Sus scrofa: one gene and its partners. The protein of the gene in region 1 purifies or fractionates together with the protein of each later gene. This does not show direct contact. Links are inferred from orthologs where the notes say so. Each region holds a gene or a part of one and is shown on either strand. Other genes may lie near its edges.

What was found.
Region 2: the proteins of SF3A1 (region 1) and U2SURP purify together in Homo sapiens (affinity purification with mass spectrometry; 4 studies listed by BioGRID and IntAct, with this or other methods). This does not show direct contact. The link is inferred for Sus scrofa from reciprocal best matches to the Homo sapiens genes SF3A1 and U2SURP.
Region 3: the proteins of SF3A1 (region 1) and RBM17 purify together in Homo sapiens (affinity purification with mass spectrometry; 4 studies listed by BioGRID and IntAct, counting the BioPlex papers as one, with this or other methods). This does not show direct contact. The link is inferred for Sus scrofa from reciprocal best matches to the Homo sapiens genes SF3A1 and RBM17.
Region 4: the proteins of SF3A1 (region 1) and PHF5A purify together in Homo sapiens (affinity purification with mass spectrometry; 3 studies listed by BioGRID and IntAct, with this or other methods). This does not show direct contact. The link is inferred for Sus scrofa from reciprocal best matches to the Homo sapiens genes SF3A1 and PHF5A.
Region 5: the proteins of SF3A1 (region 1) and SART1 fractionate together in Homo sapiens (co-fractionation; 3 studies listed by BioGRID and IntAct, with this or other methods). This does not show direct contact. The link is inferred for Sus scrofa from reciprocal best matches to the Homo sapiens genes SF3A1 and SART1.
Region 6: the proteins of SF3A1 (region 1) and SNRPA1 purify together in Homo sapiens (affinity purification with mass spectrometry; 6 studies listed by BioGRID and IntAct, counting the BioPlex papers as one, with this or other methods). This does not show direct contact. The link is inferred for Sus scrofa from reciprocal best matches to the Homo sapiens genes SF3A1 and SNRPA1.
Region 7: the proteins of SF3A1 (region 1) and PRPF8 purify together in Homo sapiens (affinity purification with mass spectrometry; 4 studies listed by BioGRID and IntAct, with this or other methods). This does not show direct contact. The link is inferred for Sus scrofa from reciprocal best matches to the Homo sapiens genes SF3A1 and PRPF8.

What each region holds. Positions count from the first base shown.
Region 1 is NC_010456.5:47,318,449-47,321,948, forward strand, and holds part of SF3A1 (splicing factor 3A subunit 1), read right to left. Parts: intron 1,965-3,500; coding exon 1,890-1,964; intron 1,353-1,889; coding exon 1,202-1,352; intron 856-1,201; coding exon 662-855; intron 1-661. UniProt on the Homo sapiens protein: Component of the 17S U2 SnRNP complex of the spliceosome, a large ribonucleoprotein complex that removes introns from transcribed pre-mRNAs.
Region 2 is NC_010455.5:83,703,018-83,707,300, reverse strand, and holds the start of U2SURP (U2 snRNP-associated SURP motif-containing protein), read right to left. Parts: upstream 2,801-4,283; 5' UTR 2,691-2,800; coding exon 2,646-2,690; intron 2,621-2,645; exon of another isoform or gene 2,530-2,620; intron 1-2,529.
Region 3 is NC_010452.4:64,892,007-64,895,506, reverse strand, and holds part of RBM17 (splicing factor 45), read left to right. Parts: coding exon 1-70; intron 71-1,184; coding exon 1,185-1,282; intron 1,283-1,878; coding exon 1,879-1,935; intron 1,936-2,847; coding exon 2,848-2,989; intron 2,990-3,500. UniProt on the Homo sapiens protein: Splice factor that binds to the single-stranded 3'AG at the exon/intron border and promotes its utilization in the second catalytic step. Involved in the regulation of alternative splicing and the utilization of cryptic splice sites.
Region 4 is NC_010447.5:7,069,951-7,073,944, forward strand, and holds the start of PHF5A (PHD finger-like domain-containing protein 5A), read left to right. Parts: upstream 1-1,194; 5' UTR 1,195-1,560; coding exon 1,561-1,612; intron 1,613-2,029; coding exon 2,030-2,053; intron 2,054-2,548; coding exon 2,549-2,715; intron 2,716-3,922; coding exon of another isoform or gene 3,923-3,967; exon of another isoform or gene 3,968-3,994.
Region 5 is NC_010444.4:6,370,543-6,374,660, forward strand, and holds the start of SART1 (U4/U6.U5 tri-snRNP-associated protein 1), read right to left. Parts: upstream 2,801-4,118; 5' UTR 2,704-2,800; coding exon 2,391-2,703; intron 332-2,390; coding exon 274-331; intron 1-273. UniProt on the Homo sapiens protein: Plays a role in mRNA splicing as a component of the U4/U6-U5 tri-snRNP, one of the building blocks of the spliceosome. May also bind to DNA.
Region 6 is NC_010443.5:145,706,130-145,710,192, reverse strand, and holds the start of SNRPA1 (U2 small nuclear ribonucleoprotein A'), read right to left. Parts: upstream 2,801-4,063; 5' UTR 2,723-2,800; coding exon 2,641-2,722; intron 1,145-2,640; coding exon 997-1,144; intron 30-996; coding exon 1-29. UniProt on the Homo sapiens protein: Involved in pre-mRNA splicing as component of the spliceosome. Associated with sn-RNP U2, where it contributes to the binding of stem loop IV of U2 snRNA.
Region 7 is NC_010454.4:47,864,287-47,867,786, reverse strand, and holds part of PRPF8 (pre-mRNA-processing-splicing factor 8), read left to right. Parts: coding exon 1-41; intron 42-176; coding exon 177-305; intron 306-1,577; coding exon 1,578-1,691; intron 1,692-1,775; coding exon 1,776-1,949; intron 1,950-2,239; coding exon 2,240-2,433; intron 2,434-3,149; coding exon 3,150-3,389; intron 3,390-3,500. UniProt on the Homo sapiens protein: Plays a role in pre-mRNA splicing as core component of precatalytic, catalytic and postcatalytic spliceosomal complexes, both of the predominant U2-type spliceosome and the minor U12-type spliceosome.

The DNA of each region.
Region 1 (3,500 bases):
CTGGGGCAGTGGTGCTAACACTCCGCCCAGGCATTTCCAGCAGCTGGCACCAGGCAGTCCCAGGAGGCCAAGGGCACTTAACATGCTGGGGAGGGGAGCAGGGGGCAAGTCATCGCTCAATGGTAGTCGCTCAAGGAGCAATGCTGGGAGGGAGAGAAAACGTCAATTCCCACAAACACAGGGGCCTTTCTTCTCAGGCTGCACATAAATTCCTTCCGAGAGGAGAAAAGCAGCTTGGCTCTGGTGACTCTGTGCCTGCCTGGAGGGCCTGGCTCGAAGCAAATAGAGGCAGCCGAAAGGAAACACAAGCTACACTTAGAAAAGCTCTGGGAACTGCTGATCATTTGGGTGTAATCTCGAAAACATCAAAGTACGAGGTGCAGAGGGTTCCCTAACTGAGAGCTGGCCTGGGGGTGGTAGCGAGCAGGGCATTTGGGCAAAGGAGGAAGGTCACAGAATAGGGCCAGCACAGCTTTCAGATCCTTGCTGGTCAATAAATCTTTGTTGTCTGAACTGCAAAGACGGTCTGTGCTGCCGGGGCTTGGGCAGCTACCTTATTCGGGACCCACACCTCCTTTTGAGGTCCTAATTCTGGAGAAGAACACCCATCTCTCTGGGCTCCAGGGAAAAAGTCACCCCAAAGGCCCTCCCAGGAGCATACCTCATCCATGTCTTGCACTTGGGTGTCCTGGTCCAGCTGGGAAGGAGGCTCCTCCGCCTTATCCTGTTTCTCGTCCTCGTCATCAGACTCAACCTCCATCTCAACTTCCTCACTCTCCCCAAACTTCTCGTAGCGCTCCTGAATGAGGATTCGGGCCCCCAGCTCCTCTGGGGTGGTGGGGGGAGGGAAGTTCCCTGGCAGAGAGTAAGCCAGAGTCAAGGGGAGGCCTCTACAGACCCTTTTCAAAGGCCCAACTATCTGCCCTCTCCACGCTGTCAGCTCTCCAAGGGCTGGAGCTGTCTGACTTATCTCCTATCTCCAACCTAGGGTCTGGCACAACAAGTATTTGTTGAATTGGGTTTAGCTGGGGCAATGCGGTAGGACTGAAGTCTTCTGGAACCAGAGATGAAGCAAATACAGATAAAACCGTCTGAGGGATTCTGCTGCTCCCTGGAGATAACTGGATGAGATTTCCCAGGATGGCTCCAAGCTCTTGGTCCCCCAACTGGAGTCACAGACCTACCTTCCTCAGAGACCTACCTTGCTCATTGGGTTGGAAGTCCACCGTTTCTACCACCACAAAATCATGCCAGTCAATTTGAGCATAGGCTACCCGCTCCTTCTCCTTCTCCTCCTCTTCCTTCTTTCTCTCACGCTCCTGAAACTTGGCCCACTCCACTCGGTAACACACCTAAAGAGATGGGAACCAACATGGTGCTGAGTTGACTCAAGATCATCTCCAGGGCCTTCACCAAGGCCAGCATCTCCCTCAAACAGGAGGCTGTCAAAGTTTTCTGCTTGACTTGGCCAATGGCTAGCAAACTCCCTCCCAGAAAGTCTGTGTGACAACCAAATGCCCACAAAAGCAGAAGCAGTCAGAAAGCCTGCAAAACAGAAGTCTTCAAGCAGCCACCTAGAACAGCCAGTACCAATATGCCTTCTCTTGACTCTGAAAACCTGAGGCTTAAAAGGCAGTGGTCACCAGAGAACCCATTCAAAAGCTGGCTTCTAGCAAAGGAAGGAAAGAGACCTAGTGAAGTGGAGAACAAAGCAGAAAGTTGGGTAGCAGAGAATGCAGGTTTCTTTGCCCTTTGTGGCCTCAAGGCGTTTCTTCTCACCACTGCTGTGCCTAGAGCACAAGGTACTGATTTGGAGACTTCCAAACACACAAGAACCCACACAATGTAACTTGCACCATGAGTAGCTGGTTATAAAAAATTCAGTTTACCTGGTCCAAAACTTCCCGGGGGTTCTCTGCCTCTTTCTTGAGCTTAGTAAATAAGCCTTTGGGTGGAATCAAGATCTGTAACACAGGAGAGTTAAATCAACTGTCAGTGCAGCACAACATGGGACAAACAAGTGGCCTTCTTGGGCCTGTAGAAAGGCAGAGGAGAAAGGTGAGCGTGGGATTCTGGGACCCAATCTCAGTTCTACTTGGCTGTGTGACTTTGGACAAGTTATTTAACCTCTGTTGCTCAGTTTCCTTCTACAAAATGGTGACACCACCAATTAAAGTTGGCATCATCCACTTAAAAGTTTGCAAAGATTAGCAGGAGAGTAGGCAAAACCACTACCAGATCACCCAGCACACAGTTAGCATGAAACAGCTGCTCTCAGGGGGAGGCTCTGCCCTTGCCCTTTTGCACATGCCACCAGGCCCTCTCCATGACTTTACTGAAGACTGCAGCCCACCACCCTAGACTTCCATCCCCTGCTTTCTCTTTAGCACTTTTTTTTTTTTTTTTTTTTTTGTCTGTCTTTTTGCCTTTTCTAGGACTGCTCCCACGGCATATGGAGGTTCCCAGGCTAGGGGTCGAATTGGAGCTGTAGCCACTGGCCTACACCACAGCCACAGCAACAAGGGATCCGAGCCACGTCTGCAACCTATACCACAGCTCACGGCAATGCTGGATCCCTAACCCACTGAGCAAGGCCAGGGATCAAGCCCGAAACCTCATGGTTCCTAGTCGGATTCGTTAACCACTGCGCCACAACGAGAACTCCCTTTAGCATTTTTTCCATAGTATTTATCATCATCTGACATACACTGACATTGCACTTGTGTGCTGCCCCCTCGCTAGACCAGTCTCCACAAAAACAGGGATTTCTCTGTATTCAGTTTACTATTATATATCCAGCACCTGGAATAGTATCTGACACTCAAAAGTACATTTGCTGGGAGAACAAACGCTGGCTTTGTTCAAAACAGCCAGTCTTGGAATCCCGTTGTGGCTCAGTTGTAAATGAACCCTACTAGTATCCACAGGACTCAGGTTTGATCCCTGGCCTTGCTCAGTGGGTGAACGATCCAGCGTTGCCATGAGCTGTGGTGTAGGTTGCAGACGTGGCTTGGATCCTGAGTTGCTGTGGCTGTGGTGTAGGCTGGTAGCTGCAGCTCTAATTGGACCTCTAGCCTGGGAACCTCCATATGCCGCAGGTGTGGCCCTAAAAAGAAAAAAAAAAAAAAAAAAAGACGACGACAAAACAGCCGGTCTTTCTAATTGTCCCAATAGTTTCTACTGTCACTGGCAAGGCAGTTCAGCCCCACTCCATACATCCCGTCCCTCCTTCCCAGGAATCTATTTGCTCCTAGAGTTCCCAGAGCTAGAGACAGACACCGCTGCCCTCAGATTAGAGTACAATATGTCAATACCTAAGTTCTTAAGGGAAAAGGAACAGGAAAATTAACAGAATAAAAAATGAATCTGGGGATCTTTAACTGCAGAAACAGTCCATGGAAGGAAATAAACCCAGTGCTCACTTAAAATTGATATTGTGTAATTACAATAACCCTTGGGCCTTATGCTTTGAATGATTATTATTTTAGGTACTCTTCTAT
Region 2 (4,283 bases), on another chromosome or scaffold:
TCATTTGACTACATATACTTGAAACAATTTTAAAAGCAAGAAGAAACTAGCTAATTTAACATGTTATAATTAAGACACATCAAATAATTTTGCCATTGTCATTGGCAAGAATCTGTTTATTTTTAAAACTTCTTCTGAGATATAATTGACATAAAACACTGTATTAGATTCAGGTATACAGCATGATGATTAAATATCTGTATACACTACAAAAACATCACCACAATAAGCCTGGTTAATAGCCATTTGCCTTACAGTTTTCTTCTTGTGATGAGAACTAAGATCTACTCTCAGCAGCTTTCAAACATGCAATACAGTAGTATTAAAGACTGTCGCCATGCTGTACATTACATTCCCTTGTACATTTTTAAGCTTAACATTTTTCTCAGTGTCTAGAAGTATGATTAACAAGCATCTCTGACCATATCAATAGGAATTTAATAACTACAATTTAACAAAGAGTAAGAAAGCACAAAACTGAAGAATCTGTTCACTCCCTCTGTATTGTAGTAGAATAATCCTCACTCATCTAAACTCCCCACAGGAAAGGAAATCAAACTAGAGAGCAAAGGCTAGAAATTCCAAGTACTGAAAGTATTAGCAAAAATGATCTTAAACTCTCTCCAATAAATTCTGGACTTGGGTTAGAAATAAAAAGCAGCAATGTGGATAGTCATTATGTTAACTAATGACCTAGATTCTAAATCTCAGCATTAGAACTTATCCTGATATTTTGAAAAGTAAATACTTTTCATTTCCTCTAAGAACAAAAGGGAAAAGCAAAGGAACTAAGAGTTATTCACTCATTTAACCTTTACGTCAACCCTGTAGAAAAAGAGATTATATCCACATTACCAACAAGGAAGTTGAGGCTCAAAAGTTTAAGCAATTTGCGACATCATAAATAAAGTACCAAGTCAGAATTTGAATCCAAATCTCGACTTTGTTATCAAAATCCATAATCTCTCCACTACCTCGTGTACCCTCCATATTAATGCAAAAAACCATATCATTTGAGCCCTACTATATTTTACAGACATCGTAGGAAACCTCTTAATCACATCAATTGACGATAATCTAAAGCAATACAAACTGAAAAGATTCCTGGCAGATTCAACAATTTACACTTACCAAAAAAAAAAAAAAAAAAGCCATATACAACCCTGACAAATACTCTTAGAGAAGGCTGAACATATGCTTTAAAATGTTTTCAATGTATCCAAGGCCTCAAATAGGAGATACTAAAGTATTATTTTGAGAAGAAACAAAAATAGTGACGCTTACCGGTGAATTTTATGGATGTGGCTAACTTTGGTAATCGTTCCCTAACAGTAAACAGGGCTGTTTTTCTGATGAGTCTGCTGAGGAAGTGGGCAGAGTGATGTACCCAACTACTCCCCTCCTCATCAAGGGGAAATTAAGTGGGGAGAGGAGAAACAAGGAGTAAACGCAGAACGTAAAGCAGCCAATACTGGCCTTCTATCATAGCCTCCACACAACTAAAGGATTTCTGGTAAATCCATTACTAATTACGAACTAATTATAGACGTCATGCACCAAATGGCATAAAGATTATGATTAGAAACTGAGAAAGCAAGTATATAATAGGTTATATTTCCCAAAACAAACTGCACACACAGAACTAGCCCCGTCTACAGTAAACTTAACTTCCTAGTAACCGACTTGCAATTCATACACACTCTTTAAGATGTGTATTACACAATTTCTTACATCAGCATAGAAAAGCTTAACAACTACTTTGGGCACTATCTACTACTTTTAATATCGTTTTGAAAAAGAAACTCAAAGCAAAAACGATTAAATGACCCGTCCAAGATGGCAACTGGTGCCAGATGCTAATCACAACCTAAAGCTAAACTACTCCCACAGCTCAGTGGTTTCACAATACTTGCACACGATTCCCTGTACACTCAAAAGCAACTTATGAAAGTTCTCCTTTCGGGAGGTGATGAGGACCCCGAGTCCTCGAAAATGAGCCCTCCAAAGAAGCGTTCATTTCATACTTCCCCTTAAGGGAGGTAAGACCACGTGTAGAGCGTAGCATTAACCTTGGTGATGCAGCACCGCAAAGGAGAACTGCTCCCGCCTCTGCATTTCCCACCCCGCGTCCCTCCACTATAGGGCCTCCCCTCACAATCTGCAGCCCTAGAGATTATTTATTCCCTGCAGGACGTGAGGGAAATTGAAGGAGGCCAGAAGCGTACGAGATCCAAACCCCAAAGAACCGAGGAAAGAGAAGTAGACCTTAAGTACCGGGAAGTGATTCCCGCCTCTCCTAGACTCTGTCCCGGAGCTTCAGAGCGCAACAAGCTGAAATACAGAGGCGCGTTTTCCTGGCGTCAGACCTCAGTGTAAATCCCTGACTTCACCCCAGTGGTAAGCGCGGGGCGAACTACTCATGCCACCTGCCCCGGGCCCGCCAGCCTCGAGCCGAATCCAGGCTGGGACCGAGGGGAGATACCAGGCCTCTCAACCTGCGCACCACGGTGCGTCTGCGCCCCGGCCTACCGTCGCGACCGGAACGCGGACTTCCACCCCAATCTCCTCCCGCTGGCCAGAAGTGTCTGTAGTCTCCAGACGACAGTGATAGACTCAATGACTCACGAAGTCCTTTAAGAAATTACCTTTGAACTGGCCTTCTGAGAGCCGCCTGGCGTTTTGTCCGCCATCTTGAGCTTTGCCCCTCCTTCGGCGGCGGCAGCAGCAGCACGGGCGAGTCGAACGCCGAAAGACTGGATCTCAACACAGCCCGCCAGAGGCGCCTGCAAGGCTGAATAGTCGATTGCCGACTATTCAAGGGGAAGTGGCCACGTGACTTCCGGTGTCGGTCTTCTTTTTTTTTTTTTTTTTCCAGCCCTGCCCACTCTGCTGAATATCTGTGGGCGTCTCCCTGGCGGGTTGCTTTCTCCGCCGGAGAATTTAGGGAATCTTGTCCAGGCTTTCAGGGCTGGTTGGAATGCACCCTTTTCTCAGTGCCAGCCCTTGATAGGCGCGAACTAGTTGCACTTGCTGGATGAGTTAGGGAAAGCCTTCTTAAAGAAGAAATGCATGGGTCAGCCGGGAGGAGTTTTTACTTCGACTCAAGTAAACCTGGAGCCAACAGGAGAGTGGGCTGAGGTATGGTGCTCCATGGACAAAGATGGTGTTCCCGCCACCTCTGGCTCTCATCCCCTAGGGGGAAAGGCAAACTTGCGGTCTGTTCAAGTTACTTTAAAATGCAGTGGTGCCGAGAAGCAGAGCAGGGCAGCTTTTGACCCAAGCTGAGATTCCAGCAGTGGGGTTGTTGGATAGTCTGTTTAAGGCGTCTGCAAAATGGGTGCGTGGAGAGAAAGGATGCATGAGAGAAAAATCATAAGCAGACGATAGTCTAAATCTAGCATTCATATAAGTTATTATTTAAAATTTTTTTTATTTCGGAGTAGATTTACAATGTTGTGTTTTGGGTGTACAGCAAAGTGGATTCAGTTACATATATACAGTTGTGTGTCATTTAAGAGACTTATAGGAGTTCCCATCGTGGCTCAGGGGTAACTAACCTGGCTGGGATCCATGAGGAAGCAGGTTTCATCCCTGGCCTCACTCAGTGGGTTAAGGATCCATCCTTGTGGTGAGCTGTGGTGTAGATTGCAGATGCAGCTCAGATCTTGCATTGCTGTGACTGTGGCTTAGACCAGCAGCTGTAGCTCAGATTCTGCCTCTAGCCTGGGAATGTCCATATGCCACACCTGTGGCCCTAAAACAAAAAAAAAAAAAAACAAGATAAAAGAGTTACATTTTACAGTTTGGTATTGCTTTCATTTTTAATCACAAATAGAGGAGAGTAACCATACTTCAGTGCTCTTTTCTTTCTTTTTTCTTTCTTTCTTTCCTTCTTTAATAGGATCTGTATTCAAAGAAGGAAAGCTTGCTTGAGGAGGTCATTCCTGAGCCAAACCAGGCAAAGAAAATGGAAAGAGCTTTCCAGGCAAAGGAAGTACTTGAAACAAAATCCGATGGCATGAATCAATATAGCCCAACTGTGCAGTCACAGTAAGCAGTCACGTTGTATTAGACCAGGTGTAGGGCTGGAGAGGTGGATGGAAGCAAGCTCACACAGGGCCCTGAGGTAACCACTGTGCTTGGGGAGTTAGAATTCTATTCTGAGGGCAAAGAGTAGCCTTCAACAGAATTAAGTAGGGCTGTGATGTCCAATTTTAAGCTTTAAAAGATTGAGCACTAGAGGAAGAAGAAGGGTTCATGACCAACTCCTGAAGTCATTTATT
Region 3 (3,500 bases), on another chromosome or scaffold:
AGCGGCAGCGAGAGGAGCGGCAGCGACAGCGGGAGCTGGAGAGACAGAAGGAGATAGAAGAGAGAGAGAAGTAAGGCTCCGTGTGGACGTGGGTGTTCTTTGTTCGAAATACCGTGACCCATCTGAGCAGGCAGCGGGAGGGCGGGGGCTGGCTGTGTACATCCCGGCGTGAAGACAGAATCGGAGCCACTTTCAGGCACAGATGCAGGATCATTTGGGTGTGTTCTTAAAACAGTAACTTAGGGAGTTCCCGTCGTGGCGCAGTGGTTAACAAATCCGACTAGGAACCATGAGGTCGCGGGTTCGATCCCTGCCCTTGCTCAGGGGGTTTAAAGCTCTGGTGTTGCCGTGAGCTGTGTTGTAGGTCACAGATGAGGCTCGGATCCCGCATTGCTGTGGCTCTGGCGTAGGCCGGTGGCTACAGCTCCAATTCGACCCCTAGCCTGGGAACCTCCATATGCCGTGGGAGCAGCCCCAAAGAAATAGCAAAAAGACAAAAAAACAAACTAACTTAGAAACTCGCTGTTGAATAATAGTTTTTTGCTTATGCTGTGAGTCTGCTAGAATCCTAACTCTTTAAAATACTAAAAATGTTACTCTTTTACTGATTTTTCTTAACTGTTAGCTCTCTTGGTATGCTTTAAAAGTGAGAGAGGGAAATATCAAAGAAATTTTTTTCTTTTCTCTCTCTCTCTCTTTTTTGTCTTTTTAGGGCATATGGAGGTTCCCAGGCTAGGGGTCCAGTTGTAGTGGTAGCAGCCCTGGCCTACACCACTGCCACAGCAACGCGGGATCCAAACCTCATCTGTGACCTACACCACAGCTCACGGCAACACCGGATCCTTAGCCCACTGATCCTTAACCCAGGGATCGAACCTGCATCCTCATGGATGCCAGTCGGGTTCGTTGAGTGCTGAGCCACACTGGGAACTCCAAGGAAATGTTTTTCCTGCTGCTGTGCTTGTACTTATCAGATTTGCTCCATCTATCTTCTGGATTGTTCTCCTCATACTTTTGCTACTTTGGTCTTCAGCCAGCTCTTGGCACGTGCGCATGCACACGCACACGCACACACACACACACCCCAACCCTTTAGTGTGGGGGGTACGGTCTCGTGACTTCCTTGGGTTTGTGTCTCTAAATTGGCTCCTCTGTGATGAGTGTTGCTTCCTTTGTTGTCACAGGAGGCGTAAGGACAGACATGAGGCCAGTGGCTTTTCACGGCGGCCGGATCCAGATTCGGACGAAGATGAAGACTACGAGCGAGAGAGGAGGAAGCGAAGTAGGATGGGAGCGCGCGGCCGGGGCGCTTTAGCTGCGGGCTCTCCCTCTGGCCTTTCACGTTCGGTTCGATAAGTCGTTGAGTTGGCGCTGACTTGGGGGATCTTCTGCGGATCCCCGCAACCCATGTGAGCGTCGGAGCTCTAACACCCGCCGTGTCTGAGCCACGTCCTTGGTGCCACGGGGTCGCTGGGCCCCGACCCTTCTCGAGCGTGCCCTGTCCAACGCTGGGATTTCCTGGGTTTAGTCGCCCACTGGTTGACGGCGATTTGCTTGAGAATTTCAGATCTGCGCTCTGGGCCGCCCAGCATGGTTCTCAGCACGATTTAGGTTGTGTCCTTTACCCCACACGGCCCGGGGGCGGCTCCACGATTCCTTCTCGCCTGGAAAGGGGAAGCAGTGAGGCCTGCTTCACCAAGTTTAATCCTGGATTCCAGTTCTGAGTCCCTGGGCTTTGGTGAGAGGGGCGGAGCCACGTCCCTCCATCCTTCCTCCTCGGGGGGAGGTGTGACGCAGCAGGCAGCAATGTCACATCCTTGAGACTCTGACTCTGAAGCGCTCTCCCGCCTTTGATCAGCGGAATTTATGTTTTTGCAGGTATGGGCGGCGCTGCCATCGCCCCCCCCACGTCTCTTGTGGAGAAGGACAAAGAGCGTACGTACCTCTCTCTCCCCTCCTTCTGTCCAGACGCGCATCTGCAACCCGCGCATCTGCAGCCCAGTCGGGGGACGTCCTGGCCGCGGCCAGCTGGGCTTCCCGAGGGCAGGGCAGTGGCCGGAACCGTCCCGCTCCAGCCCTCGGCCTGGTCCTCCCTTCCACCCCTTCTGCCTTCGCCAGTTTATGTGCCAGTCTCTGAGGCGTGGGTTCTTCTACAGGGGGATGCCTTTTTGGTTTGTTTCTAAAAACAACTTGTTTTGTTTTCTCCGATATTTCACATTCGGGGTTAGGTTAAAACAGCTCAGTTTAGAATTTTTGTGCCCAGTAATTTACAGGCTGTTAAGCACGTGACCCTCCACAAGGTGGCAGCACTTTCCTGGGTCGGATGTTTTGGTGCCCGGGTTGTGTGCGTTCACTCAGGTCGCCCAAACCGCCTTCTCCCGGTTCTCCCTCTAGAATTCGGGGTTGGAATTGGCCCTGACAGATCATCTGGGCTGGACCCCACGCAGACCTCCCTAGAAAACATCCTCCCTGGTGCTTTCCACCACTGTGGCCCTGTGCGCGTCACGTCTGTTTATAAAGAAGGGAGGTCGGGGAATGTCAGGTGCCTTTTGTGTGGAAACACCCGACGACCATAAAGCCAGCCCAGCTGAAACCTGTCTCAGAGTGCGGCCCCCACATCCGGGTCTCTGGGAAGCTGCCTGTTGAGTCTGCCACCCCCACCTCGGAGACCGTTCGTGCTGCCAGGCTCACGTGGGTGTGAGACTCGCGAGACTGTAGGACAGGTGCACAGGATGTCGTGGGAGCCGCAGGGGTTGATGGCGTCTGCTGGAGCCTGCAGAAGACTCAAGTGCAGCTCAGAACTGTTTTGTAGCGTGTTGATAAACTGGCTTTGTTTTCCTCCAGCAGTGCCCCGAGACTTCCCGTACGAAGAGGACTCCAGACCCCGTTCACAGTCTTCCAAAGCTGCTATCCCTCCCCCGGTGTACGAGGAACAGGACAGACCCAGATCCCCGACCGGCCCGGGCAACTCCTTCCTCGCCAACATGGGGTAACCGTGCAGCTGCAGGGAGGCCTTGGCCCTTTGGGTAGATGAGTGAGTCTGGAGGTGAGGGTGTCCGGGGTGGGGGGCGTGGGGTGTGCGTCACACCGCCTCCCCCAGGAGGAGCAGTGCTCCCGGCACAGGCGGGTGTCCGGCAGGACACGCCTCTGTTCTGTGCGAAACGCGAGGCCTTCTCATGGGAGTTTGAGTGATTTAGACGCTGGACACTGTGTTCTCCAGGTAGGAGCCATTTCCGGTCACTGCTGATACTGAGTTTTGTAACATGAATGAGCAAATAAAGTAGCTCCTGAGAATTAGAGTTAACTTACGCTGTGTCCACAGGGTGGATGAGATCTGTTTTTTTCTTTTCCTTGATAAAATGACCTTTACTTTAAAATCATGGTTCCGAACCTTTGGTCTAAAAGCTCTTAGTCATTCTAATGATAATTAGAAATTTGTTTGCCAGCATATGAAAATAGTTTTAATGTTTATTTTCAGGTGGGGCTTTGGGATTTTTTTT
Region 4 (3,994 bases), on another chromosome or scaffold:
AAGAAATGGCAGTCAGTCAATCTTCTAGATGGTTCAAAAGAGGACAGTCAAGGTCAAACTGTTGAGTCTCTTTTACCCTCCCCATCTAGTAACTGAAAAGCAACTGATTGTGAGCTCAAAATACGCCATTCTGGAACTCCCACAAATACAAATGTCAGCTCCAGGACCACACTCTGGCTCAAAAAGTTCTGTGAGGGCAGGCTGAAAGGGACAAGGAGAATGGGGAGTAGTAGGGCAGATGCTCAGGCCACAGCACTTTGGTAAGACTCAGAGAGCAGAACTTTTACCTGTTTTCTAACAGCGTCATCACCTATCAAATAAAAATAATCATCTCCAGAAATGATGATATGAATCAAACGATGTGGTGAGGAATTAAGTCTTGCAATCTTGTGCAAAGCTGAGAGACTACTGTCATCATTACTATTTGCTACATCTGGGCACGGAACCCACCCCCTCGAATTCTTGGGTACATGTTCCGCAGGATCCCCACAAGATGGAATAGGTCATAGTTTTTTTTTTTTCCCCCCCTACAGACTCCATGTTTGGCAACCGTAGATGCACCTGGCTAGCAACTCTGTGCTACTGAGATGAAAAGTGAGGCCTTCAGGCTCTGGGCCTAGCGCGCTTACCAACCACCGCGCCCCCCAGTCACCTTGTCCTCACCTTGAGGAACGGGGGAGGAAAAAAAAAAAAAAAAAAAAAAGCCTTACGGGGGAAGAAACTGCGGTCCTCAAAAATGAGAAAGACGTGCCTCCACTCTTCACCCGGCCGCCGCTTCTTAGGCCCTTGCTTCCAGCGGGGCGGGGACAGGGCTGAGAGCTGACTGAGCCGGGGACGCCCTGACCTCGGGCGCCAGAGGAGCGGGTATTTGCGCTGGGCCCGCGCAAGGGACAGGTACGCGAAAAGTCGGCCGGAGGTCAGGCCCGCCTCGCCTTGCCTTGCCCATAGCCGCAAGCGCAAAAGAGGTACCCCGCCCCCGTAAACCTAGAGGGCTCTCGGTTCGCTCACCTGCAGCCGGGTCACCAGTAGGCTGTAAGGCGCCATTTTGTGCACTGACAAAGATGAGGTCGCTTGAAAGTGACGTGACACGCGGCTTATTTAAGGCCTTCGGTGAGGGGCGTGACCTGAGGAGAAACGCGTCACGCTGAAGGCGTTCCCGCGAGCGACGTGGGCGGAGCTCCAGAGTCAACCTGGGAATTGGGAGAGAGCTGCCTAAAAAGTTGGGGTAGTAAATACCCGGCACAAAGATATCAAAGTGCAAATTTCGTCTTTGCGCTCTGCAACTTGTCCCTCCCATTCAAATCTGGGAAAGTTTTTTTTTTTTTTTTTCCCTAAATGACCCGCACACCCCTACCAAGACCTGACTCCCCCACTGCCAACGGGAATTCGTCTTCGGAATTTAAGTGCTTTGATCACGCGAGAATGAGCGGGGCTTGGTGCAAAGATTGCAAACGCTGATGGACGCCTAGAGAACCAATCAGGGCGACGAGGAGGCAGGAACAATCAGGGTTAAAGGTCTGGCGGAAGCTCCCTAAGCTTCCGGTGGTTTGAGCGCGAGCGATGGCTAAGCATCACCCGGACTTGATTTTTTGCCGCAAGCAGGCTGGTGTTGGTGAGACGGTCTTCTGCCCCCGGCTGTTTGGGTGGGGATGGTATTAGGACCTTAAGAGTCCGGGGTTCCCATTACTCCTTTAGGGTGTTGCTTCGGAGGCGCCCCGTTTCCCGCCTCGCCGCCGGTAGTGTAGGAGCGCGTGGGTTTGTGGGCTCAGATGAAAGGGGGGCGGGGGCGCGCGTGCTGAGAGCTGGAGAGGGGCTGCGGAGATAGAGAAATTCTCAGTTTTCCCAGGACCTGGGAGGTCTTACGAGGGTGCGGATTTGGTTCGGATTGAAGTTTATGAGAATACGATGGTTAAGACCTCTCAGGGCTCACTGCAGACCCTGTACCTGTCCCCAACTCAAGCTCGAGGCTTTTGTCCCCTCTTCTAAACCTTAATCCTAATTGTACTCTTTATCACCTTTGATCTTGCAGCCATTGGAAGACTGTGTGAAAAATGTGAGTGGAACACGCTTCTCCAAACAGCCCACCCCTCCCACTCAGCTTCTATAGTGGCAGCAACGGACATTTTCAGCGGTGCCACGAAGAGGGCTTTGGATAGACATGATTGGAAGCATGTTAATACAAAGCCAGACTGCAACTAAAGGCCACCTTCCCGCTCCAACTTGTACATTTTAGGCACTGTATTTAGGTTTTGACAAAACCTCTAGCTTTGGACCAGAAGTAGCATGACCCTGCCCCCAACACACACAGCATTCTGCCAGTCAATTATATAGACTTATCTACCGACTGCTATTCTAAGCCCTTTATATTAATTGATTAGCTTTCCTATGTGTTGGGGAGATTGAGAAATGGACGCTAGGTAAACCAATTTTATAATGCCAAAATAGAGGGCTAAAGTCACTGTCAGAAGGACATAGTGTTTTTACCCATAGCAGGAAGAGGACCTGAGGTACTTGCAAGTGGGCGTAATTCAACCTCTTTTCCTTACAGGTGATGGCAAGTGTGTGATCTGTGACTCCTACGTGCGTCCCTGCACCCTGGTGCGCATATGTGACGAGTGTAACTATGGCTCTTACCAGGGGCGCTGTGTGATCTGCGGAGGCCCGGGAGTTTCAGATGCCTATTATTGTAAGGAGTGCACCATCCAGGAGAAGGATGTGAGTGTATACTAAGCTTTTCCTCTGATCTTTCCTTTCGTTTAGGAACACTTGGCCATCCACAGCAGACTCCTATGGTCAGGAGATGGCTGTTCAGCCAGTCACCTAGGTTATAATTTTCAAGTTCTGTAAACCAAACTGGGTGTACTCCAACAAAAGGTAGTTATTTTGCATCAAGTACACAAAGGCGAGAAAAGCAAATTTTTGTCAACACTGGCAATTTGATGTCTTTCTCTCTCTCTTTTTTTTTTTTTTTGGCTGTGTCCACATGTGGACGCTCCCAGGCCAGGGATGAACCATGCTGCTGTTGTGGCCTGTGCCACAGCTACGGCAATGCCAGATCCTTAACCTACTGCACCACAAAGGAACTTTCTCTCTCTTTTTTTTTTTCCCCCCAGAAACTATGCTGCATTTTTAAATCATACCACAGTGCATGATGTGCAGAAGTCACTAATTTGTGCTACCATTAAGGAACGTTAGGGTGGATGTGATGACTTTTGAATTTGGGACAGTTCAAGTTCATTTCAGCTCTGAGTGGCTAGAGAGTGCCTTTGGTTGATTTTGCAGAATTGATTGTAATTCTTGCTCATGGCATTTTTGCCCCTTGACATTTTTTTGGTGCCAGTGGCTTTTTTTTTTTTTTTTTTTTGCTATTTCTTTGTGCCGCTCCCGTGGCATATGGAAGTTCCCAGGCTAGGGGTCAAATCGGAGCTGTAGCCACTGGCCTACGCCAGAGCCACAGCAACGCAGGATCCGAGCCGCCTCTGCAACCTACACCACAGCTCGTGGCAACGCCGGATCCTTAACCCACTGAGCAAGGGCAGGGATCGAACCCGCATCCTCATGGTTCCTAGTCAGATTCGTTAACCACTGCACCACGACGGGAACTCCGGTGCCAGTGGCTATTTATTCAACTCTTTGAGCCAGGATAGAGGGCTTGTAGATCTATTCCAAAAGCAGGCTTGGGGTAGGGGAGGTTAATCAGCTTTTATTCATATGACACAATAAATAAAAGGAAATGTGATATAGTACCAGTAGACTATTTATTATAAGGTATCTGGTTACCTAATCTAGGATAAGGCATGAGATAAAATATTTCTTAATTTTTCCTTGTGCAAAGAATAGGTAGTTTCTATGTGGGTATTATCTTCCATATTCTTCACAGTAACTTTGTTAAATAGGGATTATTACTATCCCCCTTTTACAGTCTGTCCTGCAGCTAATAAGGGGCAAGCCCCGGCTGTCTGTCTAAACCTGGTGATAGCTGCAATACACCTTA
Region 5 (4,118 bases), on another chromosome or scaffold:
GTCCCAAACCGAGGGCCTGACCCAGCGCTCAGAAGAGCACTGGCCTCTGCATTAGGCGGAAGGCCTGGCCTGCCCCTACCCAGGAAAATGCCATCCTTCCTCTTGGGTCTGAGTGTCCACTTCTGTAATGCAAATCGTTGGCTAAGATGGTTTCTATGGCACTTCCAAATCCCAAGCAGAAGGCTCTACGATGAGAAAGCTTCACCCACCTGCTGCCCCCAAAGCTGCCCGTCTCAGAAGAAGACACAGTAGCATAAAGGTGACAGTACTCACTTGGTCTCCTCGATGCTGAGTGACGAGGCATCGCCCGAGCTAGTCTTGGAGCTGGCAGCTGGAACAAGAGAGAGAGAGGCTCAGGAGCTGAACACGGGGCCCAGAAGCCACTTCCTTGGCTCCAGCCGCAGGGCTGAAGGTGAGGGTCCCCCATCTGCCCCGAGACATCAGGGAACAGCAGCCTTCCTCCATCCCAGGGGCTCCTCCTACCTGACTCCCAGGCTGTCGACACACCTTCTGATCCAAAAGGTCCAACCTGCCACATCCTTCACTCTGCCACCTCTCCACCTCTGTGTATTCTGTTGTTACAACCTACACGGCCCTCTCTGGCCTCACTCTGATTAGCAAGATGCTATCCAAACGCAACAATCAGAGGCCGGAGTCCTGATTCCTGATCAGCACCAACTCCTCTCCCCTGCACTCCACAGCACGGTCACGGCCATCTCCAGGTCTGTTTTTGCTCACAGGGCAGGGCCCATGTTGGCAGCATATCTGTGTTCTCTCTGTGTAATTCACACAGTCAAAAAATACACTTACTGGCGCCTGTGCTGTGAGGATGCTACAGGAAATAAAGCAGCGCTTCTGAGCTCTTTCACCCACCTCATAAACAGCAAATGTCACACACAGAATGCCACACACAGAAGCTGGACGCCATCGGCTGGAGCTCCTCCCTCCAGCATGGCCACCTCGCAACCTACGTCTTTCCCTCCCACCCCACCTGGACCCTGACTCCCAAGCACCTCCGTGCTCGCTCCAAGGTCGCCAGCCTCCTTGTCTGTAAATCCGATGGATTCTCTGCCACTCTGGTTTTGCCTCATCTCCTGTGGTGTGTGACACCACTGATCACGCCCACAGATCCCATGACATGAGATGCTATGGTATTCTTGCTTTGGGGAACATCCAACCTCCTTTTTTGTACCATCTTGCTCCGCCTGCTACTAAAACGTAGACATTCCTGAGGTTCTGCCCCCGACCCTGGCTTCTCAATCCTCACTCTCTCAAGGGACTTCATTTGCCATTGAACCCTTATGACTCTCAAACTGCTCTGTCCTGCCCAAGCCCTGAGTTTCCCCATGTGCCTCATGCAACACTCCTCAAAACTGAATTCACTGTCTCTCTCCAAAAAATCTGCTTCTCTTCCAAACTCAACTTCCGTCGACAACACTACCACCCACCTGGTCACACCAGCCAAAATCCAAGGACCATCCTCAATTCCTTCTTCTCCTTCCCACTGTCATCCAAGTGCTTAAGCTCTGTCACCTCCTCCTCCAAAACACCTCTCCAATGGGTCAACGACTCTCCATCCCGCTGCTGCTGCCCTGGTGCCAGCCATGGCCAGTCCTTACCTCCTCTATGGGTCTTGACTGCTCTTTACCCAGTTCTCAACACAGTGTTCTCTGTGATAACGTGAATACGACTAACTCGCTCCCCAGCTCGAATTCATGGCTCCCTATTACTTTTGAAACAAAGTTCAAAATTTTTTGTTTTTTGTTTTCTCAGGGCCACACCCTGGCATATGGAGGTTCCCAGGCTAAGGGTCGAATTGGAGCTACAGCTGCCGGCCTACACCACCGCCACAGCCACGCCAGATCCGAGTTGCACCTGTGACCTACACCACAGCTCAAGACAGTGCAGGATCCTTAACCCACTGAGCCAGGCCAGGGGTCGAACCCACAACCTCATGGTTCCTAGTCGGATTCGTTTCCGCTGCGCCAGGACGGGAACGCCAACAAAATTCAATTATCTTAACAGGCTTGCAGGAGCCTCTGTGTTCGGACCCCTGCCTCATGTCTCTGCTATGAGCTCTACATAACCTGCCCAATACCAGGTGTCCTCCTGCCTCTACACACGATGGTACCACTCCATGCGTTCACTCGACACATTTAGCGAGTGCCTGTGATGTGTCAGTTAAGGAAAACAGAGAAAATCTCCACCTTCACGGAGTTTAGCAGAGAAAGCCAACCCTTAATCCCAAATAATCAAAACAAGACCCTTCCAAATGCGCTGACGACGGGCCTGGGGATGGCTGGGCCTGTGGGCTTGGCTTCCATCCCCGAGGCCCTCCACCCTGAGACCCTCCCCATCGCCCCGCCCCCTGCCCAGGCCCCGCCCCTCACCGGCCTCGTAGCCTTCATCTCGCTTCTCCCGCTTCACGCGGCGCTCGGAGGGCTCTGTCTGGCTACGCTCCCGCCCGTGCGTGCTGCTGCGGGCCTCCGCTTCGGCCCCGCGCCGCCCGCTCCCGCGCTCGCTCCCACGCTCCCGGCTCCGCTTTCGTCGTTCGCCACCGCTGCTGCCGCCGCCGCTGCTCCGGTGCTTGTGTTTTTTGTGCTCCCGGTGCCGAGGCGGCTGCTCGGTGGCGCTCCCGGTGCTCGCTCCTGCCGTAGTCCCGGCCGCCTCCTTCTCCCCGCGGTGCTTCTTTGACGACCCCATGGTGGTAGGTCCACCCGAGCCCCGCCGCCGCCGCCGCCGCCGCCACCGCCGCCGCCGAGCCCCGACGGCGCAAAATGGGAACACTTCCGGGTCGGGCCCGGCTGCGCCGTCGCGTTGCCGGAAACCAAGAGCGGCTGCTTCCGTCCTTTGCCTCGGAGCTGCCCCAAAGGCTCATGGGAAGGCTGGGATCGGGCCCGACTGCGCATTCGCGGCCGGCACTGGCCGAGCGGCGGTCTTTGACATAGTGGTCGGATTGCGCGTGCGCTCAAGCTTGAGGGGCGCGTTCGAGTCCGGGGAAGACCGTATCCCAGAATTTGAAGGACCTAGGGCCCATCTAAGCCAGCATGGCCTCCCTGGCTTCCCTCCGCTTGCACACCCTCAGCCACGGGATGCTCACTGCAGCGCCCGCCGCTCCAGCAGAAGTCCTCCTAGTAGACTCCCTGGGGTCGTGGCCGATCAGGTGTAGGAGGACGGAGCACGTTCTGCTCCTGAGACCCTCAGCTCCACAACCCAGCCTCCTCCCAGCCCCCACAACTAATATTGTCTGCAAACGCTGCCTTCCCACGGTCCCTGAATTGGGTTTTTTTAACGTGCGCTTTGACTGCTACGGAGCTCGAGATGGGCCTTTGCATGCCTGTGAACCCCTGAAATCGAACGCAAAATTTAGCACATCGGGGTGTGTGTGTGTGTGTGTGTGTGTGTGTGTGTGTGTGTGTGTGTGTGTGAGAGAGAGAGAGAGAGAGCGCGCTCGCGGGAGCTGCTGCTGCTTTTTTTTTTTCCCTCTTGAGAGGAGCTCTAACTTGAAGTTGCTTGAAGCTAAAATCTCAGTTTACACAGGAATTCTCCTATGGCGCAGCGAGTTAAAGATCTAAAGATCCGGGACTGTCACTGGAGCGACTTGGGTCACTCCTGTGGCTTGGGTTCAATTCCTGACCCAGGAACTCTCGCATGCCACAGGCACAGCCAAATAAACAACAACAACAAAAACTCTGTTCACACAATCTCTCCATCCCTCCTGACACCCCTCACCTCCCAGTTGCCCCATCTGGAGGCCCATCTGTCTGTGATTATGCTCCCCTTTAAAGTTCCGCTTTCCTCCCCCCCAGAACTGGGAGTTCCCAAAGGCAGAAGCCATTCTGTCCTATTCACTCTTGACTTTCTAGGACCCAGCATTTCTAGGGCAAGTTGCCGCTGTTGCTCTTGGAGATGCCATGCTCACACCTCAGGAGCAGAGGCAGAGCTGTGCACAGGGAGGGGGCAGCCAGAACAGCCAGAGTTCCTCTGGGATGTGGGGAAAGCCTGCTGCAAACCCACCTGCCACCGCCAGCTCCCAACACGCAGCCCCTTCCCACCACCAGAAATCTCACACTATTTTCCACAAAGCATTTAATTTTATTTTTAATTTTAATCTTAGA
Region 6 (4,063 bases), on another chromosome or scaffold:
GAGCCTGATCAAGTCCCTCACCTATACGGCTGAAATAAAAACAGAAGGACTCTTAGTAAACATGCAAATTAAGTCAGCTAAAAATTTTATCTGAGCCCTTGCTCAGAGGGCTTCAGAGTGGGAAGAAACTTAAGAGATCTTTCTTCCAAGACCCTGACAGGAAAATAAGGCACAAAAAGAACTGTCTGAGGTCACACAGGTGACAGAAGTAGGATGACTTTAAAACCCACATCTCCTGAAAGATGTCCAGGGCCCTTCCTACTGCCACACTATCTTAACGAAACCAAAGACAAGAAATTCCTGTGTAAAACAGACTACTTAGTTCATCTCAGGACCTGTGTGAAGCCCAAAAACATAAGTGATTCTGCAGTCAGAGCTCAGGCACAAGATAAGCCAGTAAGCAAACCACAGTGGAATAGTTAACTCACGAGAAATAATGGGCATTTAAAAAAAAGCAACTCACTACCCAGCACTTCTATTGTGTGTGTGTGTGTGTGTGTCTGTGTGTCTTTTTAAGGCTGCACCCACAGCATATGGAGGTTCCCAGGCTAGGGGTCAAATGAAAGCCAAAGCTGCCGGCCTACACTACAGCCACAGAAATGCCAGATCCGAGCCACATCTGCTACCTATGCCGCAGCTTATGGCAATGCCAGATTCTAAAACCACCAGGCAAAGCCAGGGATTGAACCCAGATCCTCATGGATACTAGCTGGGTTCTTAACCTGCTGAGCCATAATGGGAACTCCCCAAAGCAGTAGGTTTTTAACTTAAATTAGAAATGTACCATGAATACATAAATAATACAAGATTTCTGAATAGATGCAAGTAAGACCAGACCAATACCAAATTCATCTCTGGATCTGTATGGGAAAAGTGTAGTTCATTTTCCATTTAAGAAATACGTAGGTGTAACTGGCAATACTGCAACTTCTTTATGGAACTCTGCTACATTTACTCTAGGGGAACAAAAATTACTTTCCACTAGTAGACACTTACCATATTCTATTGTTGTTCACTAACAATGTTTTCAGTCTTCTCAGCAAAGGAAAACCATCTAGTTTCCTGATTTCATTGTCAGAAAAATCAATGGCATCAAATTGGTCTAAGGTAGCACCTAGATTTTCAATGACAGGAATTTTGTACCCTGGAGAAAGGAGGGAAAAAACACACAAGGAAACATTAGCAGCATTTCATGGTAATTGGACTCAAAGCTTTCATTCAATCAGAAAGTTGTTTATCTAGCACCTATGCTGTGCCAAACACTGCCAAAGCACTGGTTGATTACAAGGGCAATAAAGATGAGAATACTCGCTAACAGTAATACTAATAGGTAGCTAACATTTCCAAGTATACTTACAAGGTGCCTTGTATTGTTCTAAGCAAGGCCCCAAAGCTAATGAAGTGGCCTAACAGGACTTTACACTGTGAGCTGCCTACTGTCAGTGTCCAAGCCTTGTCCACGTATTGTGGACAGTAATAGCTCCCAACCTTTTTTGCATTTCCACAGGTCAGATTCCCAGAACTCATTTGGATATCTTCGTATCATGACAGTTCCCACTTCTCTCACCTCCCAGAGGCCCAACCCAGAGTTGAAGGTCAATTTGTACACAATGGTAAATCACCTTGTGAACAACTCACTCAAACGCTCACTGATTTGTCTTCTAGGGGCATAATTATTGTCTTAGGTGCTAGGAGAAGAAAAGAAGTTAACCTAGGCAAGGTTAAATAAGTACACATTTCAGAGCTCTAAAGGCTCAAAGTTAAGTGCTGTACCAAAACGAGCATTCTCAACACCGGATGCACTTCAAACTCAGGCAGACATCAGCCTGTGCCAAGAGTATGAAAGCGGTGGGTTACTCTTGAGTCGAACCTATGATATTTAATTTCAACAAAACGAAAGTACTATGTCAGCAAACAAAAAAGCAAGCAGAAAGCAGGGCCCGCAGCAGTGCTGCTCCTGAGACGGTGTTCTCCCCCGTGGGGGTGGATCTCAAGCCAACACTTAACCCCGGAGAAGTCGTCCTTCACACCCTTTCTAAAGCCTCTCCTACTATGCAGACGAGTTGCCACAGGAATCTAATAGTCTGGAGGACTTCCGCCTCCCTTATAGACGCAAGACATCCGGCAGCCCTAGCGTGGCTGAAACAGTCTGCTCTTTGAAAGGTTTTGGCAAAAGGGAAATAGATCCTTGAAGCTAAGGAGGAGGAAAAGCCGGGAAAAAAAATCGCTTTTGCTCCGGACTTCACTTCCTCCGTCCCATACCCAACCTATATTCTCATGACTTCACTTTACCGTATCTCGGTCCGCACGAGGATCACAAACACGGCTCAGCACCCCAACGGCTCAGCCCACCCCGCAGGCGTGTACTTCCCCGCCCCCCAACGGCTCAGGTCACTCGGCAGGCCCGGCACCGGCCCCGCGGTCTGACCCAAGCATCGAGGCGGTCCCGGGCGGTGGGGGCTGGGCTAAGGAGAGCCTCGAAGGAGTCCAGGGTCGGCGTTTCGCCGACGACAGCGGGACTCAGCCGGGGTAGGAACCGGGACGCACGCCCCAGGCCACGTTCCCGCCCTTCGCGCACGCGGCGGGCGCAGGCCGCCGAGCGGGCGGGGAGGCCGGGCCGCCCGCCCCCGCCCGACTCACCTCGCAAGTCCAGCTCGCGGTCCCGCACGGCGTTGGTGTATTGCGCCGCCTGCTCGATCAGCTCCGCCGTCAGCTTCACCATCCTGTCGCCTCCCGCCTGCAGTGTCTCCCGCTCCTCCCGCCGCACCGACGTCCCGGCGTACCCCGCGCCCGCCGCCAGGCAGCATCAATCGCTTCCGGCGTGTGCTAACAGCGCGGCTCCCAGGCCTAATCAATCGAGGAGCCATTTCCTCCGTGATCGGCCCCGCCCCCGGGCTCGGGCACAGCTTTTGGGCTTTAGCTCCCGCGCTCTCCGCGGCGCATCTGGTTCTGAGTTCGTTCCTCTTGTGCAGCTTCGGCCTGCAGTGCCCCCGAGTCCAGATATTTGTGTCCGCAAGTTAATAAAGAGTGAAAGCCCACGAGTGGAACTTTCGCGTGCGTCAGGACACCTAGAGGTGAAAGGGAGGCAGTGACTGCTTTCACTCCGCCCATGGGATTCAGTGATGGGTCCCGGGCTTTGGCATCCGGGTGACACCATGAAGACCAAGCCTGGGTCTTCCGCACTGGTCTAGTTTGCAGTCAGGCCTGCCCTCTCTAGACAATTAGATATTCATGCTGAAGCCTGATAACACAGGAAGTGTGCAGATCTAAAGTCTGCAACATGACAAATGCCCACAGAGTGAGCACATTTGGGTGGCTGCTGCTGGGGTCCTGAAATTCGGAGACTCCTTCATTCCCCAAAGGGAACTACGAATCCGTCACCATAGATTAGTTTTGCTTACTTTTATATAAAGAGAATGATGCAATCTGTTTTTGTATCTGGTTTCTTTGGCTCTGTGTCATGCCTAAAATCCATCCAGGTTGCAGGCAGCAATGATTTGCTTACTTGCTGCTGTATAGAATTCTATTGCGTCTCTTACACCATAACAATCCATTTCGCTGTCGATGGACATTAGGTTTGTTTCCAGCTTGGGGCTAGTCTGCATAATGCTGCTATGAATTTTGTTGTACGTGGATCGCATGCACCTGTGCCTGAACTTTTCCAGGAGTGAAACTAAGGAGACAAAGTGTGTGGTATTATTGATAGGTACTGCCTGATGATAACTTCCAAGAGGCTGGAATCATTTCCACACTGTAGTGGTGTGTAAGGGTTTCCATCACTTGCCAACATTAACCTCATTTGCACTGTCAGTCTTCATAATTTTAGCAATTCTGGTGAGTACCAGTGCACTATTGCTTTCATTTGCTTTTTTCTAATAATAGTTAAGCATATTGTCCATTCTGATATTTTTTTACAAAGTGCCCATTCAAGTCTTTCTCCCATTTTTTTTCTTAGTGGGTTTTCTTTTTTCTTATTCCTTTTAAGATTTCTTTATATATTCTGAGTGTGAGCATACTATATGGCTTGCCTTTTACTCTTTTTTGGGGGGTAGTAGTTTAAACT
Region 7 (3,500 bases), on another chromosome or scaffold:
TTGTGGATGACACTAATGTCTACAGAGTGACTATCCATAAGGTGAGAGCAAGACGCAGCATGGGGCTGTGGGACTCTGGGTTTGCCTGTGGGGGTGGTAAGGCAAGGGTGTGTGTCTTGGACGGAAGGCAGGTTGGTTGTGTCTGGACTTAGCTAACTGACGTAATCATTCTTCAGACCTTCGAAGGGAACTTGACCACCAAGCCCATCAATGGGGCCATCTTCATCTTCAACCCACGCACGGGGCAGCTCTTCCTCAAGATCATTCACACGTCTGTGTGGGCTGGACAGAAGCGTCTGGGGCAGGTGAGCCTGTTAAAGTGTGGAGAGGCTGGAGAACCTTGCCGCCTCTTATTCTTTGGTATGTAGATGGGGGTGTGTGTGCAAGAGTGAGAGTCTTCTCTTTCTCTCCTTGTAAGATTGAAGACGTTTCATTTAAACTTTTCCCCTGAATTACTTAACTTTGGAAGTGTGTTCTTCTATAAGAGGTCCAGGAGCGGAGTTCCCAGGTGACTCAGTGGGTTAGGATCCGGCATTCTCACTGCTGTGGCTCAGGTCACAGGTGTGGCGCCAGTTCATTCCCTGGCCTGGAAACTTCCACTTCCCTCGAGTGTGGCCAAAAAACAACAGAAAGAGATCCAAGAGTGAGGTTCTTCATTGCCTTCTAGCTGGCTTCTCTCCTTCCTGAATGTCCCATCTCCAACCTGTCTTGAAGAAGACTGCCAGAAATCATCCTTCTAAAGGGAGCAAGCATTCTTACTTATTTATTTTTAATGTCTTTTGTCTTTTTAGGGCCACACTTGTGGCATATGGAGGTTCCTAGGCTAGGGGTCTCATTGGAGCTGTAGCTGCCGACGTACACCATAGCCACAGCAATGCAGGATCCGAGCGCGTCTGCAACCTGCACCACAGCTCAGGGCAACGCCAAATCCTTAACCCACTGAGTGAGGCTGGGAGTTGAACCCACATACTCATAAATGCTAGTTGGGCTCGTTAACCACTTAGCTATGATGGGAACTCCAGGAGCAAGCATTCCTAAAACATCATTTTCACCAAATCTCTTCTCCCCCTCATCCTTTGGTAACCCCCCCCTTTTTTTTGTCATATTAACTCTTTGGTTTCCTAGATTCCTAATGTCTAGGAAGCTGTGCAGCCACAGTTTCTCTTCCTCCATAGCATGTTTCCTGATGCCCATCTTCCCTTCTTTGGCTTTGCTCACAGATCCTTCCTTCTAGAATGAACTTTCCTCTTTGTTCTGTTAATCACTGTCTTACTCATCCCTCAAGATCTCTTTCTTTGTGCAACTTTTTATGACCTTTAGCCTTAGTTTCTTTAGTCCCCGACGTAGTGTAGTATATAATCAAATACGGGCTTAGGGTATTATTTTGTATGAGTTTTGTCTGGCCAGCTAGGTCGAAACATTCTTTGGGGCAAGGCCATGGTTTGCTTTTATCTATCCCTCCGAAGTACCTCCATTCCAGTAGCAGTGCACAGTAGAAACATAGTTGGATTGTTTCAGGGCTGGGATCTTTTGTTCTCATTGACTCAATTTCCACTCCCTTTACGCTTGCTTTTTAGTTGGCTAAGTGGAAGACGGCTGAGGAAGTGGCCGCCCTGATCCGCTCTTTGCCAGTGGAGGAGCAGCCCAAGCAGATCATTGTCACCAGGAAGGGCATGCTGGATCCACTGGAGGTGAGAGGTGGTGGATGCGGTAGAAGAAAAGAGGGCTGAGATCTGCTGACTCTGTTTCTAGACTTGGACTTGATCTTGTTTCAGGTGCACTTGCTGGACTTCCCCAATATCGTGATCAAAGGCTCAGAGCTCCAGCTCCCCTTCCAGGCTTGTCTCAAGGTGGAAAAGTTTGGGGATCTCATCCTTAAAGCCACTGAACCGCAGATGGTTCTCTTTAACCTCTACGATGACTGGCTCAAGACCATCTCATCTTACACGGTATGAAGTCACCTCTTGAGGAGGGTCACTCGTCTAAGAGGGGTAGGTTTGGGGGTCACAAGGAGATCCTGTGCCTTAGCTTTGCCCACAGGCCCCTTAGGGAGCCATTTTCACATCTTGAGCCTGCGGGTGGGTCAGTGGATACGGGACTGCATGTCAAGTTGGCGTACGGCGAGGGAGCTGAGTGGGGCACCTTAGAGTCTGAAATCAGTTCCTGGGTCTCCTGAAAGGATGGGATCAGGAGCAGGGAACCCGACCATCAAGGGCTGACCTGCCGCATCTCTCCCCAGGCTTTCTCCCGCCTCATCCTGATTCTGCGCGCCCTGCATGTGAATAACGACCGGGCGAAGGTGATCCTGAAGCCAGACAAGACGACGATCACGGAACCACACCACATCTGGCCCACTCTGACTGACGAGGAGTGGATCAAGGTGGAGGTGCAGCTCAAGGACCTTATCTTGGCCGACTACGGCAAGAAAAACAAGTGAGGAGACAGATGGGACGTCCAGAACGGGGGCGATGGGCGGCTTAGTGCATGGTTTCAGGGGTTTTTGAAACATTTTCAGCTCAGAGATTTCTCAAGAAATCGTCCGGCGATGCCTGTAGAAGAGAGGAGGGTAGGCAGGGTGTTCACGTGGTGTGGAGATGTCCGTGTGTCCGGGCTCAGGCTGACTCGGGCTTGGCTCCGGAGACGCTCTGTTGCCAAATCGAGAAGCGCATTTCTGTACCGTCCATACATTACAGGAAGTTCTAGCAGCCCAGACCCCCAGGTACCACTGCTAATAGCGTGTGCCCACACCTTCCTTGTTTCTCCGTCTTTGTCACTGTGGCAGTCAAAAAGCCCATAGATTTCCAGGCGCACAGTAAGGGTAACTCTGAGAACTTGTTCTAGGATTTCCATTTTTGAGTGTTTTCCGGTGTGGGGGCAGTTTTTGTTGAGGGAGAGTGGGAGGTGTGGATGCTGAGCAGGTTTGAGCATGGCTGAAAGGTGTACAGGCACAGGGCCAGCCTGGGATGTGACCCATCTTATCAGTATTAGTTTATTTCCACTTCACACTTCCTTTGCAAGTGTCACTTGAGGATTGTCTGGGATAAGAATATGGGCTCCCTTCTCCACCGAGTTACGCTCTTGCCGTTGGGGCATACCTAAGTGACCAAGGGGAAAGGATCCTTGTGGTGTGACCCACACTCTCTCCACAGTGTGAATGTGGCATCACTGACACAATCAGAAATCCGAGACATCATCCTGGGTATGGAGATCTCAGCACCATCACAGCAGCGGCAACAGATAGCTGAGATTGAGAAGCAGACCAAGGAACAGTCGCAGCTGACTGCGACCCAGACTCGTACTGTCAACAAGCACGGTGACGAGATCATCACCTCTACCACCAGCAACTATGAGACCCAGACTTTCTCATCCAAGACAGAATGGAGGGTCAGGTACTAACTATAAGGGGCAAGAGGGATAGGGACGGAAAGGACTGCCGATGCTGCCTGAGGTGCTTGTGCTGAGAAATGACAACATTCGGGAGATCCCGTTGTGGCTCAGTG